Diceros bicornis minor: one gene and its partner. The protein of the gene in region 1 purifies or fractionates together with the protein of each later gene. This does not show direct contact. Links are inferred from orthologs where the notes say so. Each region holds a gene or a part of one and is shown in the gene's direction. Other genes may lie near its edges.

The links.
Region 2: the proteins of AP1G1 (region 1) and AP1M2 purify together in Homo sapiens (affinity purification with mass spectrometry; 4 studies listed by BioGRID and IntAct, counting the BioPlex papers as one, with this or other methods). This does not show direct contact. The link is inferred for Diceros bicornis minor from reciprocal best matches to the Homo sapiens genes AP1G1 and AP1M2.

Annotation. Positions count from the first base shown.
Region 1 is NC_080771.1:23,534,211-23,541,405, forward strand, and holds the start of AP1G1 (AP-1 complex subunit gamma-1), read left to right. Parts: upstream 1-4,111; 5' UTR 4,112-4,421; intron 4,422-7,195. UniProt on the Homo sapiens protein: Subunit of clathrin-associated adaptor protein complex 1 that plays a role in protein sorting in the late-Golgi/trans-Golgi network (TGN) and/or endosomes.
Region 2 is NC_080769.1:8,687,664-8,695,311, forward strand, and holds the start of AP1M2 (AP-1 complex subunit mu-2), read left to right. Parts: upstream 1-4,629; 5' UTR 4,630-4,683; coding exon 4,684-4,725; intron 4,726-5,731; coding exon 5,732-5,888; intron 5,889-6,087; coding exon 6,088-6,155; intron 6,156-7,648. UniProt on the Homo sapiens protein: Subunit of clathrin-associated adaptor protein complex 1 that plays a role in protein sorting in the trans-Golgi network (TGN) and endosomes.

The DNA of each region.
Region 1 (7,195 bases):
AAAACATCTCTGGTGGCACTTTGGGCTGCCTCTTTAAAAAAAATCACTAAAGCAAAGAGGGAGCTTGGCTGAGCCTCATACTCGCGGGCTTTGGTCTTTACTTTGAAGGAAAATATAGTAGATTTCCTAATGCTCTTGGTAGAAGGTCAAAGAGTACATGGAGTTGGCTGTTGGAATTTTAATTTTTACATCATTTCTGGCTCTTGTCATAATTGAAGAATTAATTCCTAAACGCTTTTCTCAGACCAGGATGAATTGTGACGAGGGACCACGCTTAAAAGAATTGTAAAAATGCTTTTTTCGAAAACACATAAACAACAGAGGGACTAATTTCTCTCTGACTTTCAGGCTTATTTATAGATTCTGGTGACTCAAACGATAACAAAACAGGCCAGTGGAGCTGCCTCTTTGGCTCACGTCACTCTATTTCCCACAGGGTTGCACCCCCTCTTCACTCTCCTTTCTCGGCTGAGGACTCGGGCACGTGGAGATGCAGGAAGAGTACCTTGTGAGAGATGCTGACCACATTTCTGCAGACAGAGCTTCCCCATCTGCTGTAAGGTCACAGGGCTTCAGCTGCTGATACTGAGTCATTTAAGAACACCACTGCATTTAAGACCAAGAGAGAGGGTCCCCTTCTAATACCACAATTCCAACTGACATGCCATGCCTTCCAAAAGCCCTGTCACTGCTCTGGCGCCCAGTGACCTCTCATTTTTCTGCTTTCTTTGGGGGGTACTGGGACTTATCTGCTGAGTAATAATATCAGTGATACTTTTATGTGTTTGAGGATTTTAAAAAAATATCTAGTTTTCCTCAATGAGATTATAATTACCTGGAGGGTAGGAACAATCTCTTTTGAAACGTCTATTACAGATTCTGTGCACGCAGAGCAGTGTGGTGTAGTGGAAGGACTCAGGCAGCTCGTTCACTGAATGATTACTATATGGGCTAAAAGATATATACAATGATGGAAGATCTAGATTTGAGTTTGGCCTCTGCTGTATGAAGATGTGACAAATCATTTAATATCTCTGATCTTCTGTTTCCTCATCTCTAAAGTGGGGATGATATTTATCCCAAAGAGAGTTCATATTTACTGAGCCCTTACCATGTGCCAGCCTCTGTTCTAAGTACTTTAAGTGTATCAGCTCGTTTTATTATCACACCAGTCTTAAGATGCCAATGCTACTGTTAACTCCATTTTACAGACAGGTACACTGAGATTCAGAAATGCTCAGAGATGTTAAGTAACTTGCTGCAGTTCACACAATAAAGAAAGGCAGGGCAGAGTTTTAACCCAGGCTTTTAACTACTGTGCTATAATGCCTACCTGGTTTATAAGCTCATGGTGGGTGAGGAACGAATGAATCAAAGTATATGAAAACACTTTTGTAAATTATAAGACACAATGCACTACTGTTATTTGTAGTGGGCAATCAATGAAAGCTTTGGTTGAATTGTGAGGTGGCACAAAATGTTTTTATACTTATATTTTCATGATGCTTGATACTTTTCCAAGTGCTTTCACACATTTCATTCCTCTGGGTAACAAGTGACTTTGAATCCATTTTGGAACAAGGCTAATCATAAATAAATATTGGACAGCTGAGGAAACACGCCCAGAGATGTTAAACACCTTGCTCAGGGCACAAAGTGAGTTGAACTCAGCCCGAACTGGCATCTGAGTGGTCTGACTCCTGGCTGATGCCTCTTCAGTTTTGTTTTTTGTTGTTATTATTTGTTAAGTTGAAGCATACAAGTTATCAATAATAAACTAAACCATGAAAATAATGATCTTTTCTCCCAGCCATTATCTCTTCCTAGAAGTTTGTTTAATCCTTTGAGGCTGTTGCTGTTTTAAACAGAAAAATCTCCTTCAGCATTTGGATGCATAAAACTGCATTATCTGATAAGAACTTTTTTTTTCAAAATGTAAAAGTCTTTTTTTTCCCAAATAAAAGTACGATATGATCATTGCGAAAACAAAACATAGTTAGGAAAGTAAAAATCCTCTATAATCCCAAGATTATCCCTTGGATCTCTATAATCCTATCCAAAGATAACCATTTTAGTTTTATCCTTCAACTTTTTTTCTATTTTTTATAAGCTCATTTTATAATACCATTTTGTAATATATTTTTCAAAATCTGGCATATCATAATAAAGATAGAGCTATAGTTTCATTTTTATTGGCAGCATAATATTCCATTTTATTGATGTGCTATAATTTATTTATCTGAAATTAGGGATTACCTTTGAGTAGATGGGGAGTAAGTCTTCCCAAACTATAATCTCTAGCCACAGAAGCCAAAGATCCCAGGACAATGATAACCATGCTATATATTGGGTTAATTGCTTTTAATTTTCAATGGCATTAGAGGAGGGGTTTGGTAATTATAAAGATAAATATAAGTAAAAATAAAAGATATGGAGGGGGTTTACATTTTATAATGTCTGTCATTTTCTCTTTAATGCTCTGCCATTTGGCATGGTTGGAAAAAAGCTCCTTCCTCTTTCTTAAGAAGATGGTTTAACTTTTGTGGTTCACAATGGTAAACATTTAAATTTGACCTTTAAGCAAATTTTTGTGACTTGCAAACGGAATACTTTAGCTAACTGCTTTGCAACCTGCAAACTCCTTACTTTTATGGGAGCCCCAAACTGTACTTTAGCATGTGTTCATGCATAGCTATACCTCAGAGGAATCTGCGTTACGGCATCATTATGGTGTTCTAGTTTTATGCTACTATTTACCAGGCATGTGATCCAGGGCTGCACTGCACAGTAGTGCAGCCCTGAAGGTATGAGGCGACTGAATTCTACAAGCATCCTGCTTCCCAAACCATTTGCTCTCGGTTGATTCCACCCTGAGTGTGCGGGTGGGGGCGAGTGGGTGTGTACCGTTTCCTAATTCCAAAGGTTTCACGCATAGCCGAAGCCCAGTCGAGGAGGAGAGAGGGAGTGTCTTTCAGCAAGTCACAGTCTCTCTGAGCCCCGGTCTCCTTATTTGTAAAACTAAATTACCTATGCTTGAATGGTCTGACTCAGGAAGTTGTCGGAGGGTCAAATTAGATTATACACACGAAGATGCTTTTATAAACAATGTGATATCAATATTTAATAATAAAAAATGATAATTACCATTATCACCCCCTTGCTCGCCTTTCTTTCCAGCCACTTGACATACCCCAGTAGTTCAAGAATAAAATTGTACAGGCGGGCCTACTGAGTTCACTTCTTGAAATCCCTGCATGAAAGTGGCTGTCTAAGGACAAAAGTGCAACCTCCTGAGTACGACAGGTCCTAAACTCAAGATTTGTGGTTAGGTCAGTTCTCTTTGGCATCCAGCCGGGTGCGGCGCTCTATTCACGTTCGAGGTAATTTATTGCGAATCTACCTGAAGGATTTTTGTTTAGTTAGGTTACTTTTCCTTTAAATGGGCCGAGATATCCTGGCCCTCTTCACATTCACATGGAAAATATTCGTGTCACGTGTCAGTAATTATTTATCAAGCCAGGAACTGTCTGGTTAGACTGTCTTTGGCTCAGGTCATTAGTTCATGGAGTCACAGTCAGAAAGCCCGCTCCGGAAGGGTAGACCAAATCTTTTTACATATGAGGAAACTGAGGCCCTGAGGGCTTAAATGACTTGTCCAGTGTATGAGGTCGAGCAGTGAGACTGGGCTTGGAATCTACTCTGTGTCATCCTCTCTTTTTATAAATATGTTGCAAAGATACCAAAAACCCACAGAATCCAAGATCACATGGAGCATGTTCCCGACGTTACCTAAAGAGAAAACTAAGGATCTCAAAGGTGCTAGAGTTTGGGATTCTCGTGGATTAGGACCGGCTCAGCCTGGCTGTGTTCTCCGCCCCCACCTACCTCGCCTTTCCCGCTTCCTTGACTACCTTGCGAGCTCCGCCCGCTTCAGGTGGCCCCCGCCGCTTCCTGACAGTCCAGCACTGCCCCCGCCGTCCCAAGCGGAACCAATGTCTGTCAGCCCCGGCGTCGGCCGGATCTTTCTCGCACAGACTCTTCGCAGCGGTGACTCGGCAGCAGCGTCTCGCGTCATCAGTGACAGCCCCGACTCTTGCTACGCTCTGCGTCGCTCTGCCAGGAGCAGTCACCTCCTCCTTGGCAAATAGTCCTCGGCGGGGTCCGAGTTCTTGGATAATAGGAGAGGGGAGGCACGGGAAGTTACAGTCAGGGGACGCGGAATCGACAAGAAGAGGACGATAGGGACCGAAGTTTCTGTGATAGTGTGTGAAGTTAGTTTAAAACTCCCTTCCTCCTAAGGATCCCTCCGCCTGCTCTAGCGGTGGTGAGGCCGAGGGAGCCGCCATTTTGGATGTTAGGTTCCTGCTGCCACTGCTGCCGCCGCCCCCAGAGCTGCTGGTTTCATTCGAGGTTTCGGGCCGGTGAGTGTCACTCGCGGCGCTAAGAGCATATTGCCTCTTTTGCCCCGCGCCTGCCGGGAGCCTTCGGCCAGAAGCTTCCTATCAATCCCAGGGGCCGGTCCCAGGCTGTGGGGGGTGAGAAGAGAGGACAGAGGTTGGGCCTGGAGCCTGGAGCCTCAGGGGCTGCTCTGACTTCTTGAGAGCCGACCCCGAGGCCTCGGACCGGCAGGCTCCGCTCGCGGCCGCGTTCCATGCTGTGGCGTTCCCCGGCTGGTGCGGGCCTCCTTGGACCCATTGACTTTCTCCGGCTGCGATCCTCATTTGAGGGCTCGTTCAGGGAGACTGGGGTTAGCGGGGAGGGTCCCACCCCCGCGTGTCTTCTCTGAGCCACATATCAGCGTTCTTGTATCTTGTACCCTGGTCAGGTCTTTCGTGGAACTCCCTTCAGCATTTCCAGATGCTCAGTTAATTGCTGTTTGCACCTGCAATGCCGTCCTCTCAGAACAGGACATCGGCCTCGCCTCCCTCTAACCTTCCGACCAACTTCTTTCCCAATTTTCCGGATTTTTTTTTTCCCAACTCACCTGCGAGTACGCTGCTTACCTTTCTCTCAAACTCCTGATCCTGCGGACGTCAGTTTCTAATAATTCTCCCGATCTTCCTGACTCCCTGAAAGAGTCAGGACGGTTGGTTACGTTTCTCTGTTAGGGTTTGCTGTAGGAGATCCGTTGAACCGCTCGCTCAGAGTGTACTTCAGCAGTAAATGTGTATAAAGCTGATTAAATGGCTTTTGGAGGGGTGGGAGGCTGTCACATATTTTCTCATTTGTGGATTCCCTTCCTGTGCTGAACACTTAGTTTTTCGGTACTTATTGACACTTAAGTATTTTTCTTCGTGTTATTTTATCCCTGGGCATGGAAATCTGCCTGTGAAGAAGAATCTTATTTTGATGTAGGGAGAAAGGAAAGTAACTTTTTTGTCTCCTGTAGGGATTGGTTAACAGAAGAGAGGAGTGAATGAAGATTTCTTAGTGATCTTAACTTTCAGGTGTTGTGTACACCTGATTTTTGCTGACTGACTCTAAAAAATACTTGGATTGACTTCATGTGTTGGATTTTTTCTGGGGATAGTTGGATTTTAAATATTCTACTGTTTCCCATAGTATTTGTTAGACTATATACACCTTAACTTTTGTTTTAAAAATATAGACTCTCCAGGTACCCATGATCTCATCACTTTTATTCCACTCTTAAAGTTTGTAATATAGCATGCTTGAATAAAAAGCGTTTCACAGTAATACACCAATTATTTCCTCCATTTCAAGTTAGGTGAGTGTGATTGAATCACCTCTATTTTATCTCATCTTGGGTTTTTACATCTGCAAAAGAGAAATAACTTATTTGAGATTACAGCCTAGTGACTGCTGAAATTTGAATTTGTAACTTGAACTGGATCACGTCTTTTAATACTTCTAATCCATGTATAAATGCATTCTTATCATCAGGTTATCAGGTAGGTAATTCCTGTACTGGACATCATATGACCAGTACAGGATATATGATGTAGAAGACTGAATGTTTTCATTGTAAATAGTCACTGTTCTTGTTATTTGTTTTAAGGAGACTTTTCACAAATATTTGTGTACTCTGAAGCTTTTGGTTTAAAGGAACTGTCAAACACTCAACATTTGTGGAATGGTCACTAATTTACTAAGTAGCTGGTTGTAGTTGCTACTGAAGTGTTTCATTTCTGAGTTACACTTTTAAAACAAGGTATTGCAAGAGCTATCAGGTGTAAATATTTAACTCAGTTCATTTCATGGTATAGTGTACTGGTTTTTAAATGTCATTCATTCTTAGGTGTTTTGCATTCAATTGGAGAAAATATCCTTTTGCCTTACAAATTATAAGCAAAGTGCTGTTTACTGCACCATTGATCAGCACAAACTTGAATGTCTATTTTGTCTAAGGTTGTTGGGGGGGGTGGGGAGTGGGGGGGGTGGTTACACTTGAAATTAACATTATTGTTTAGGAAACCTCAATTCAATTTCTTTTGGGAACAGTTGCTTGTTCTTTTATCTGATCTTTTTCACTGATAGCAGGTCTGCATTTGTGGGTGAATTTTAGAGTGAAACTATGAAGTACAAAAATTGTCAGCAATGCCTTGGTGATATTTCATCCTACTACTTATTTTTAAAAAGTAGTCTTGATATCAATGGTGTACAAAAACAGAAACCCAAGTTTTTTGTGACTTACAAAAACTCTATACAAACTGAAAAAGTTGAACAAGTATTTTCCAAAAGATTATTTTTAATTAAAAAAATTAAATTGGGAAACTACATACCAAAACAGATTTTTGAATGCTTAATCCCTTTATTTACATTTGATGAGGATTTTTAAATTTTGTGTATACAGCGGGACTTAATTGGTATCGAAACCTTAGAACTCTTATTTAGGTTTAACTTCAGAAAATCTAAAACTATCTTTCTTCAAACTGCAACAACTTGCTTAGCTGTTTTTGGTGCTTGTAATTCAGTCTTTGCTTTATGAATTGTTTTCAGTTTTTGATTTTGCCTTTCTTTCATTCCTTTGTTACTTTTATTCAGTTTCTTTTATGCAGGATAATATTTAAAGTAGGAAGCAATTTAAAAGAGAACATAGATTTATCTAAGCGTTTATATTTCTTGGCTTATAGGTTTTGAAAATCATATCTTTGTCAAAAAGTGTTAGGATTTTTCCATTTGCCTTTTTCTGTAGAAAATTTTATTTCAATAAAGGCAGTCTTCTCTACCTTGA
Region 2 (7,648 bases), on another chromosome or scaffold:
GAAGGGAGTGCCTACAGGCAGGGTCCTGGAGGGGAGGCTGGGCCATGCTGTCATCTAAGAGGAACTGGGGCAGGCCACAGCCCCTGGGGACGGGGGAGGTGGCAGCTGAGGCGGGGCAGCTGGGCACACAGAGCTGCTCTGTTCTCTGACCCCACTGAAGCTTTTGAGCTCATGAATTTTTCAGCCAAACAGGCCTTAGTTTCAGATTCCATGGTGCTGGGTCCAGGCTTTGGGGTTCTATTTACTGTCTGAAAACATCCCAGGGTCCCAGAAGAAGGACCCTTTGGAGGTTCAACAGGGCCTGGCCTGGGGCGAGGGCCTGGCAGCGCCCTCAATCCCCCTGGGTCACCTGCTGAGCAAGGGGCTGGCAGGATGGTGGAGGACACCCCTCTTTTGGGCAGAGGCAATGTAAAACCTTGCACCTTGCAGGGGTGGAATTCTAACTCTGCCCCTGAGGCCTGGGTGGCTTGTACAAGTCACTTGCCCTCTGAGCCTCAGTTTTCCCATCTGTCAAATGGAGATATAGGCTTCCTTAACTCAAAGAGTTGTTTTGAGGAGGATTGCCACCTGGGAGACGGTTGGGGCAGCGCCTGGGTATAGCGAGCACACATAAGCGTGAACTATGTGTTAGTAACAGTCATACTGGTATCCGGCAATGAGCAGACCAGTTGGCAGTGGGCTGAGTCAAATTCTGACTCCACTGCCTCCCTGCTGTGTGTCCTCAGGCAAGTGGCTTCACCTCTCTGTGCCTCGGCTTTTGCCAACATAAGAAGACATGAAGGTCTTCCCCTTAGGACCTGAATTAGCAGGAAAACCATAACTGGGAAGACCAGAATCAAATACAGCAAAAAATAACAAACTTGGGGGAAAAAAAAAGACACAAAGAAGGTGGGAAGATAAGTGCTCGAGGAGAGGCCACTGCCGCTGTCGTCCTGTTCCTGTGGGTGTTAGATATGGTGCAGAGGCGAGTGGCGGTTCTGTCAGTTGCTGAGTGGCGGTTCTGTCAGTTGCTATCTTTTCACCTCCCTCCCTTGAGTCCCCTGTGGGGACGCCCAGCCCACTCCCAGGGGCTGGTAAAGGGCTGGGGCTGGGTTTGGGGAAGGAGGGGAGAGGGGATGAGGGATGAGGGATGAGGGATGAGGGATGAGGGATGAGGGATGAGGCCCACGAGGGCTGAGTGACTCCCCCTGGAGACTCCTCCCTCGCTCTGTGGAGCAGGATGCGTCCCAGCCAGGCTGAGATGGAATTTCCCTTCTCTTCCTTAATTTCCCTTCCCAAAAATTCCCTGCCTCTAAGATGGCAGACAGTTGTGGGGTGGAACCTGGTGTCCCCAGTAGCTGAGGGGCAGGGAGCTGAGACCCTGTGCCAGGCATGGATTTACGCCCAAACTCAGAGAGTGCAGCTCAAGGAGGTGACACCACGACTGTTACACCCATTTTAACAGAAGGGGAAACTGAGGCAATGCCCAATGCCTCACAGCCCACGGTGGAGTCAGAACTCAAACCTAGCACCTGTGTTCTTTTTCCCCCCAATTTTAATAATATATTTAATTTAACCCCAAATTTTTATCATTTCAACATGTAATCAATATTAAAATTATTCCTGAGATTTTTTTTGTACCAAGTCTTTGGAATACTGTGTGTATTTCTTTTTTGTTAGTTTCCTCTATTTTTATTTATTTATTTATCTATTTATTTTTTTTTAATTTTATTTATTTATGTTTCCCCCAAAGCCCCAGTAGATAGTTGTATGTCATAGCTGCACATCCTTCTAGTTGCTGTATGTGGGACGCGGCTTCAGCATGGCCGGAGAAGCGGTGCGTCGGTGCACGCCCGGGATCCGAACCCGGGCCGCCAGCAGCGGAGCGCGCACACTTAACCTCTAAGCCACGGGGCCGGCCTCTATTTTTATTTAAAATTAAAAAGAAACAAATCGAAGTTTCTCATGTCACATGCATTTCCAATGTAAACAATTTGTATTTTAAACAAGGAGTTTACGGAAGGAAACGTTTGCAGTGTCCTGGTCTATTTCCATTAGGAGGTTTTATTTTCTAAATTAAACTCCTTTGTCCCCGTTGGTAAGGGAAACATAGTTACAAGGCAGAAACCCAGAATTTTTTCTCGCAGCCACAAGCCAAAATGAGAAAAATGCATTTTATCTTCAAGAACAAAGATTTAATATGGTTTTGTTTTTCGGTTTGGGTTTTTTTTTTTTCCCCCATTTGATTTGGTTCCCTGCCTTAACTTTTCCTAGCTTTAGGAATTTTGTTGCTAATTCAGCAGCACCTGTGTTCTTTTTTCTTTTTCTGAGGAAGATTGGCCCTGAGCTAACATCTGTTGCCAATCTTCCTCTTTTTTTTTTTTTCCTTTTTTCTCCCCAAAGACCCAGTACATAGCTGTGTATCATAGTTGTAGATTTGTAGCTCTTCTATATGGGACGCCGCCTCAGCGTGGCTTGATGAGCCATGAATAGGTCCGTGCCCAGGATCCTAACCGGGGAACCCCAGGCCACTGAAGGGGAACGTGTGAACTTAACTGCTGTGCCACCGGGCTGGCCCCTGCACCTGTGTTCTTAACCACCACACAGTAAATAATAACAATAACAAATAATAATAACAGGAGGGTCGGCCGCACCCCACGCACTGCTCTGAGCACCACGTTGTGTGTAGTAACTCATGCCATCTGCGCTGTAATTAATTAGGAAAGTACGGAAATTAACCGTGTTTAACAGATGTGCAAACCGACGTCCAGGGAGGGGAGGCCAGGTCCCCAAGGCGGCGCAGCTCGTGGGTTGCAAACCCAGGACTTGAGCCCAGACAGCTGGCTCTAGAGCCTGCACGCTCAACTGCACACATCTAAACAACAGCAGCAAAAACAGTATCAGTACCAGCTTTGTGCCAGGCTCTGCAGAGACTCCTTCTCTTGGATTGTCCCGCTCATAAGGTCGTGGTGGAAATTTTTCAAATGTCGGCCTCGTCTCTGAGTTCCATGCATCACAGCCCCCCATTCATTCTCCAGCACACACCCCCAGCCCACTGTCGCCGGTTCAGCTGCCTGCAGTGTTCCCATCCTCATCTGGGATCATCTTGTTTTGGGGTTCTTATGCTGTGTGTCTCCCGCCCTCCCTAGAACGAGAACAGTGGAGTGGCTTTGCCTATGTCGCCATCCACAGCGCCACAGAGGATGCTCAACAAATATTCACTCACTGAATGGTCCATCACCAACAGTATCAATTGTCATCAGCACCACAATGAAAGCAGCTTTCACATGTCCCCTTCAGCACACAGTAGGTGCTCCATAAATGTTGGTTGAGTGAATAATATTATGATGATTATAGTCATAATCATAATGACCATTTATCTTTTCAACAGTTGCTCAACATCTCAGTGTCACGTTATAGAAGCTTATAAATGTTTTTGGAGGGAATGAATAAGAGTAACATTGGGAATAATGATACAAGCAGTTACACTGGGGCCAGCCCTGGTGGCATGCTCCACTTTGGCGGCCCGGGTTCAGTTCCTGGGCATGGACCTACACCGTTCTATTAGCAGCCGTGCTGTGCTGGTGGCCCACATACTAAAAAATAGAGGAAGATTGGCACAGATGTTAGCTCAGAGTGAATCTTCCTCAGCAAAAAAAAAAAAAAGCAGGTACATTGGTTCTTCTCAGAATGCTACCCACAATTCCTGAGTGAAAGAATTTACTAGAGAGTATTTGAGTGAAAGAATAAATTAATCAGTAAGTATTTATTGTATGAATGAATGAATGACTTGGACAAATATTATTGAGTGCCCAGTGGTGGGCACTGGGGACATAGACATGATCAGGACAAACCCTGTCCTATTGGGGCGGACGTGCATGTGGGAGAGACAGAGGAGAAACAAGATGAATGGATGGATGGATGGATGATGGATGGATGGAGAGATAGATGATGGATGGATAGATGAGGGATGACGGATGGATGGATGGATGGATGGATGGATGGATGGATGGATGGATGGGTGATGGATGATGGATGGGTGGATGGATGGATGGATAGATGATGGATGGGTGGATGGATGGATGGATAGATGATGGATAGATGATGGATGGATGGATGGATGGATAGATGATGGATGGGTGGATGGATGGATGGATGGATAGATGATGGATGGGTGGATAGATGGATGGATAGATGATGGATGGATGATGGATGGATGGATGGATGGATAGATGATGGATGGGTGGATGGATGGATGGATAGATGATGGATGTATGATGGATGGAGGGAGGGAGGGATGATGGATGGATGGGGGAGAGATGACGGATGGGTGGATGGATGGATGGATAGAGGATGGATGGATGATGGATGGATGGAGAGAGAGACGATGGATGGATGGATAGATAATGGATGGATGGATGGATGGATGGATTGGTGATTGGTCTGGAGTCTCCGTCCACCAGCACTCCTGGGCGCAAAAGGAAAGTGAGGCGGAGCAGCTGTCGCATCCGAAGCTCCGCCCCTCGCAGCCCCCGCAGCGTCTTCTCGTCGGCCGACAGCGCCGCTCACCTGGCGGCCTCCCCTTTAAGACGCGCGCACCTGGGCGCACACCTGCGCGCGGGCGCTTCCGCAGGAAGAAGGAAGCAGCGCCGCCGTCTCCAACCGGCGCTCCCTCTCCGCCTCCCAGGTCCGCCGGCCGCCACCATGTCCGCCTCGGCTGTCTTCATCCTCGACGTCAAGGGCAAGGTGAGGCTGGGCGCGAGGGGAGGGGGGACGGACAGGTGAGGCTGCGCCCCCGCGGACTCAGGAGCGGCCCCTCCTCGCAGGCGGGGAGGCCCCAGAAAGCCCTGGGCACGTGGGGACATCCCCTCCCCCAATCCCTGGGAGTCCCGGGTCCAATCCCACCTCCACTGTTTACCTCTCTGAGCCTCAGTCTCCCTCTCCGTAAACAGGGGAATACAAGGGTCCCCACTCAAAAAGAATTAATACCACCCGATTCGTGTCAGTCACTTTCCACCGTAGCCCTGCTGCAAACATTTGGCGTTTATTCAACTGAAATTATGTTTACCATCGTCACCATCCAAAGTCTTAATATTGCGGGAAGATAGAGGGGCAGGGGACCCTAATTCCCCTTTGGGGCTGCCCCGTCCGTTTCTGGAACCCTCTCTCATTCATCTGGTCATTCAATAGCAATAATAACAGGGGTGGTGAAAATAATATTCCTGATAATAATAATGGTGACAGCTAAGGTGTCTGCGGACCTGCTGCATGTCTTCTAGGTTCTAAACACTGGACTAAACAATATCATCAGGTGGGTACTATTATTATTGACTGCTTACAGCCTGCCAGGCGAAACTATAGGAGCTAAAAGAGATATATGGGTATAATCTTTCGTTTCTCTTTCTATAATCTTTCCTCCCTCCCTTCCTTCCTTCGTTTATTCAATTTCCAGTTTCCCCAATTATCATGGACACGGTTCGTGCCTCAGTTTCCCCATCTGTAAAATGGAGATGTTAATACTATCTGCCTCACAGGGTGGTGGTGAGAACTAAGACAGTCAGCAAACATCCAGACTTCAGTAGAACACGGCCTAGACCTCAGGGAGGGCTCTGGACACGTTAGCTGTTGTTATCACGTACCCATTTTACAGAGGAGGAAACTGAGGCCCAAAGAGCCGGAGCCTGGCGGAGGGCCCTCAGGTGGAGGGTCCCCGGATCCCGGTGGTGACCGGGCCTTCTCCGCCCACCCGTAGCCCCTGATCAGCCGCAACTACAAGGGCGATGTGGCCATGAGTGAGATCGAGCACTTCATGCCCCTGCTCATGCAGCGGGAGGAGGAGGGCGCCCTGGCCCCGCTGTTGAGCCACGGCCGCGTCCACTTCCTGTGGATCAAACACAGCAACCTCTACTGTATCCGGCCGCGCGCAGGGGCCCTGGGGGCCTGGGTGGTGGCAGCTCAGGCCCAGAGAGGGTGGGCTGAGGATAGGAGTTGCACAGCACATCAGTGGCTCAGGCTGGGGATTGGAGGGGGGCAGGGTGGGGATTCGGGGTCTGTGCTCCCTCCGAGCCCTCCAAAATGGCACCTGTTCCTTAACGTCGCTGCCCGCAGTGGTGGCCACCACGCTGAAGAACGCCAACGCCTCCCTCGTGTACTCCTTCCTGTACAAGACGGTGGAGGTAGGTCCCGGCCTCCCATTGGCCGGCTGATCTGTCTGTCCACTCGTCTTGCCCGCCTCTTTCAGGATCCGTTTCTCCCGGGAAGCTTCCCCGGGCCGCCCTGGGGGGCCCCCATCAAAACCCCATCACTGTGTTCTCATCAGCTGCCACCGGATCATCTCTCCCTACAGGGCAGGGACCAAGGAGGTCTCCAAGGGGCTATACTGCTCAAATCTGAGCCCGAGGGAACCGGGTTCCGATCCCAGCTCCCCTGCTGCCTGGCTGTGTGACCTTGAGCAAGCCACTTCCCCTCTCTGTGCCTCAAAACTGGGAGTTACAACAAGTCCTGCCTCGGGGTTGTTATACCAATTAATCAAATTCATATCCATAAAGTGCCTAAAACATGCTCAGTATACACTAAGTGCTCCATAAAGGCTTCCTATTGTCAGCATTATCACCAATGTTATACTGTCTCATGACAATTTATCGAGCACTTGTATGCCATTATCGATGACGGAGAAAGTGCTCAGTAATGACTTTTCTTTTTTTTTTTTGGTGAGGAAGATCCACCTTGAGCTAACATCCATGCCAATCCTCCTCTTTTTGCTGAGGAAGACTGGTCCTGAGCTAACATCTGTGCCCATCTGCCTCCACTTTATGTGGGACGCCGCCACAGCATGGCCTGCCAAGCAGTGCGTCAGTGCGCACCTGGGATCTGAACCTGCAAACGCTCGGGCCACCAAAGCGGAGCGCACGCACTTAACCATTGTGCCACTGGGCAGGCCCTTCAGTAATGACTTTTCAACGAACAAGAAATATTTATTGATTTGTCTCCTCTCTGCCAGGCAAAGGGGGGACACAGCAATGCATAGGGGACTGTCCCTGGCTGTCCTGAGGAGTGAAAGGGCATGATGGAGATTAAACAGGACATTTTCCAGTGGCTGGGATGCTGGTCTCATGGTGATACTTATGGGGGTTGGGGGGATGGTGGTGGCCTCATTGAGGGGTGACATTTGAGCTGAGGCCTGAATTCCAAGGATCCTGTGAGCAGAGTGTCCCAGGCAGAGGGGACAGCATATGCAAAGGCCCTGGGGTAGGAATAGAAAGCAGGCCAGTGAGGCTGGAGCAGAATGAGGGATGGAGAGTGTTTCAGATGTTGGATGACCGACAGGTTCTCTGCTGTGGTTATGCCTGCTAATTCCCAGGGGCTCTTAACTCGAGGTCCCCAAACTCCCAAGGGCCTGAGGATAGAATTCAGGGAGTCCATGATCTTAGATGCATTTCTAGATAACAGATTTCCTTTGCCATCCCCTGTATTTTATTTCATGCCTTCACAAACCTTATTCCGAGGCGGGTCCAGAAACATCACAGATGCACAGGAACCCACGGTCCACAAAACACAGTTCTGTGCCCTTCCAGTCCCTCCTCCAGGGCAGGGACGCTGTTGGTTTTGTTCACCATTAATGTCCGGCACAGGCATACAGTAGGCGCTCAATAGTTGCCTCTTGGCTGGC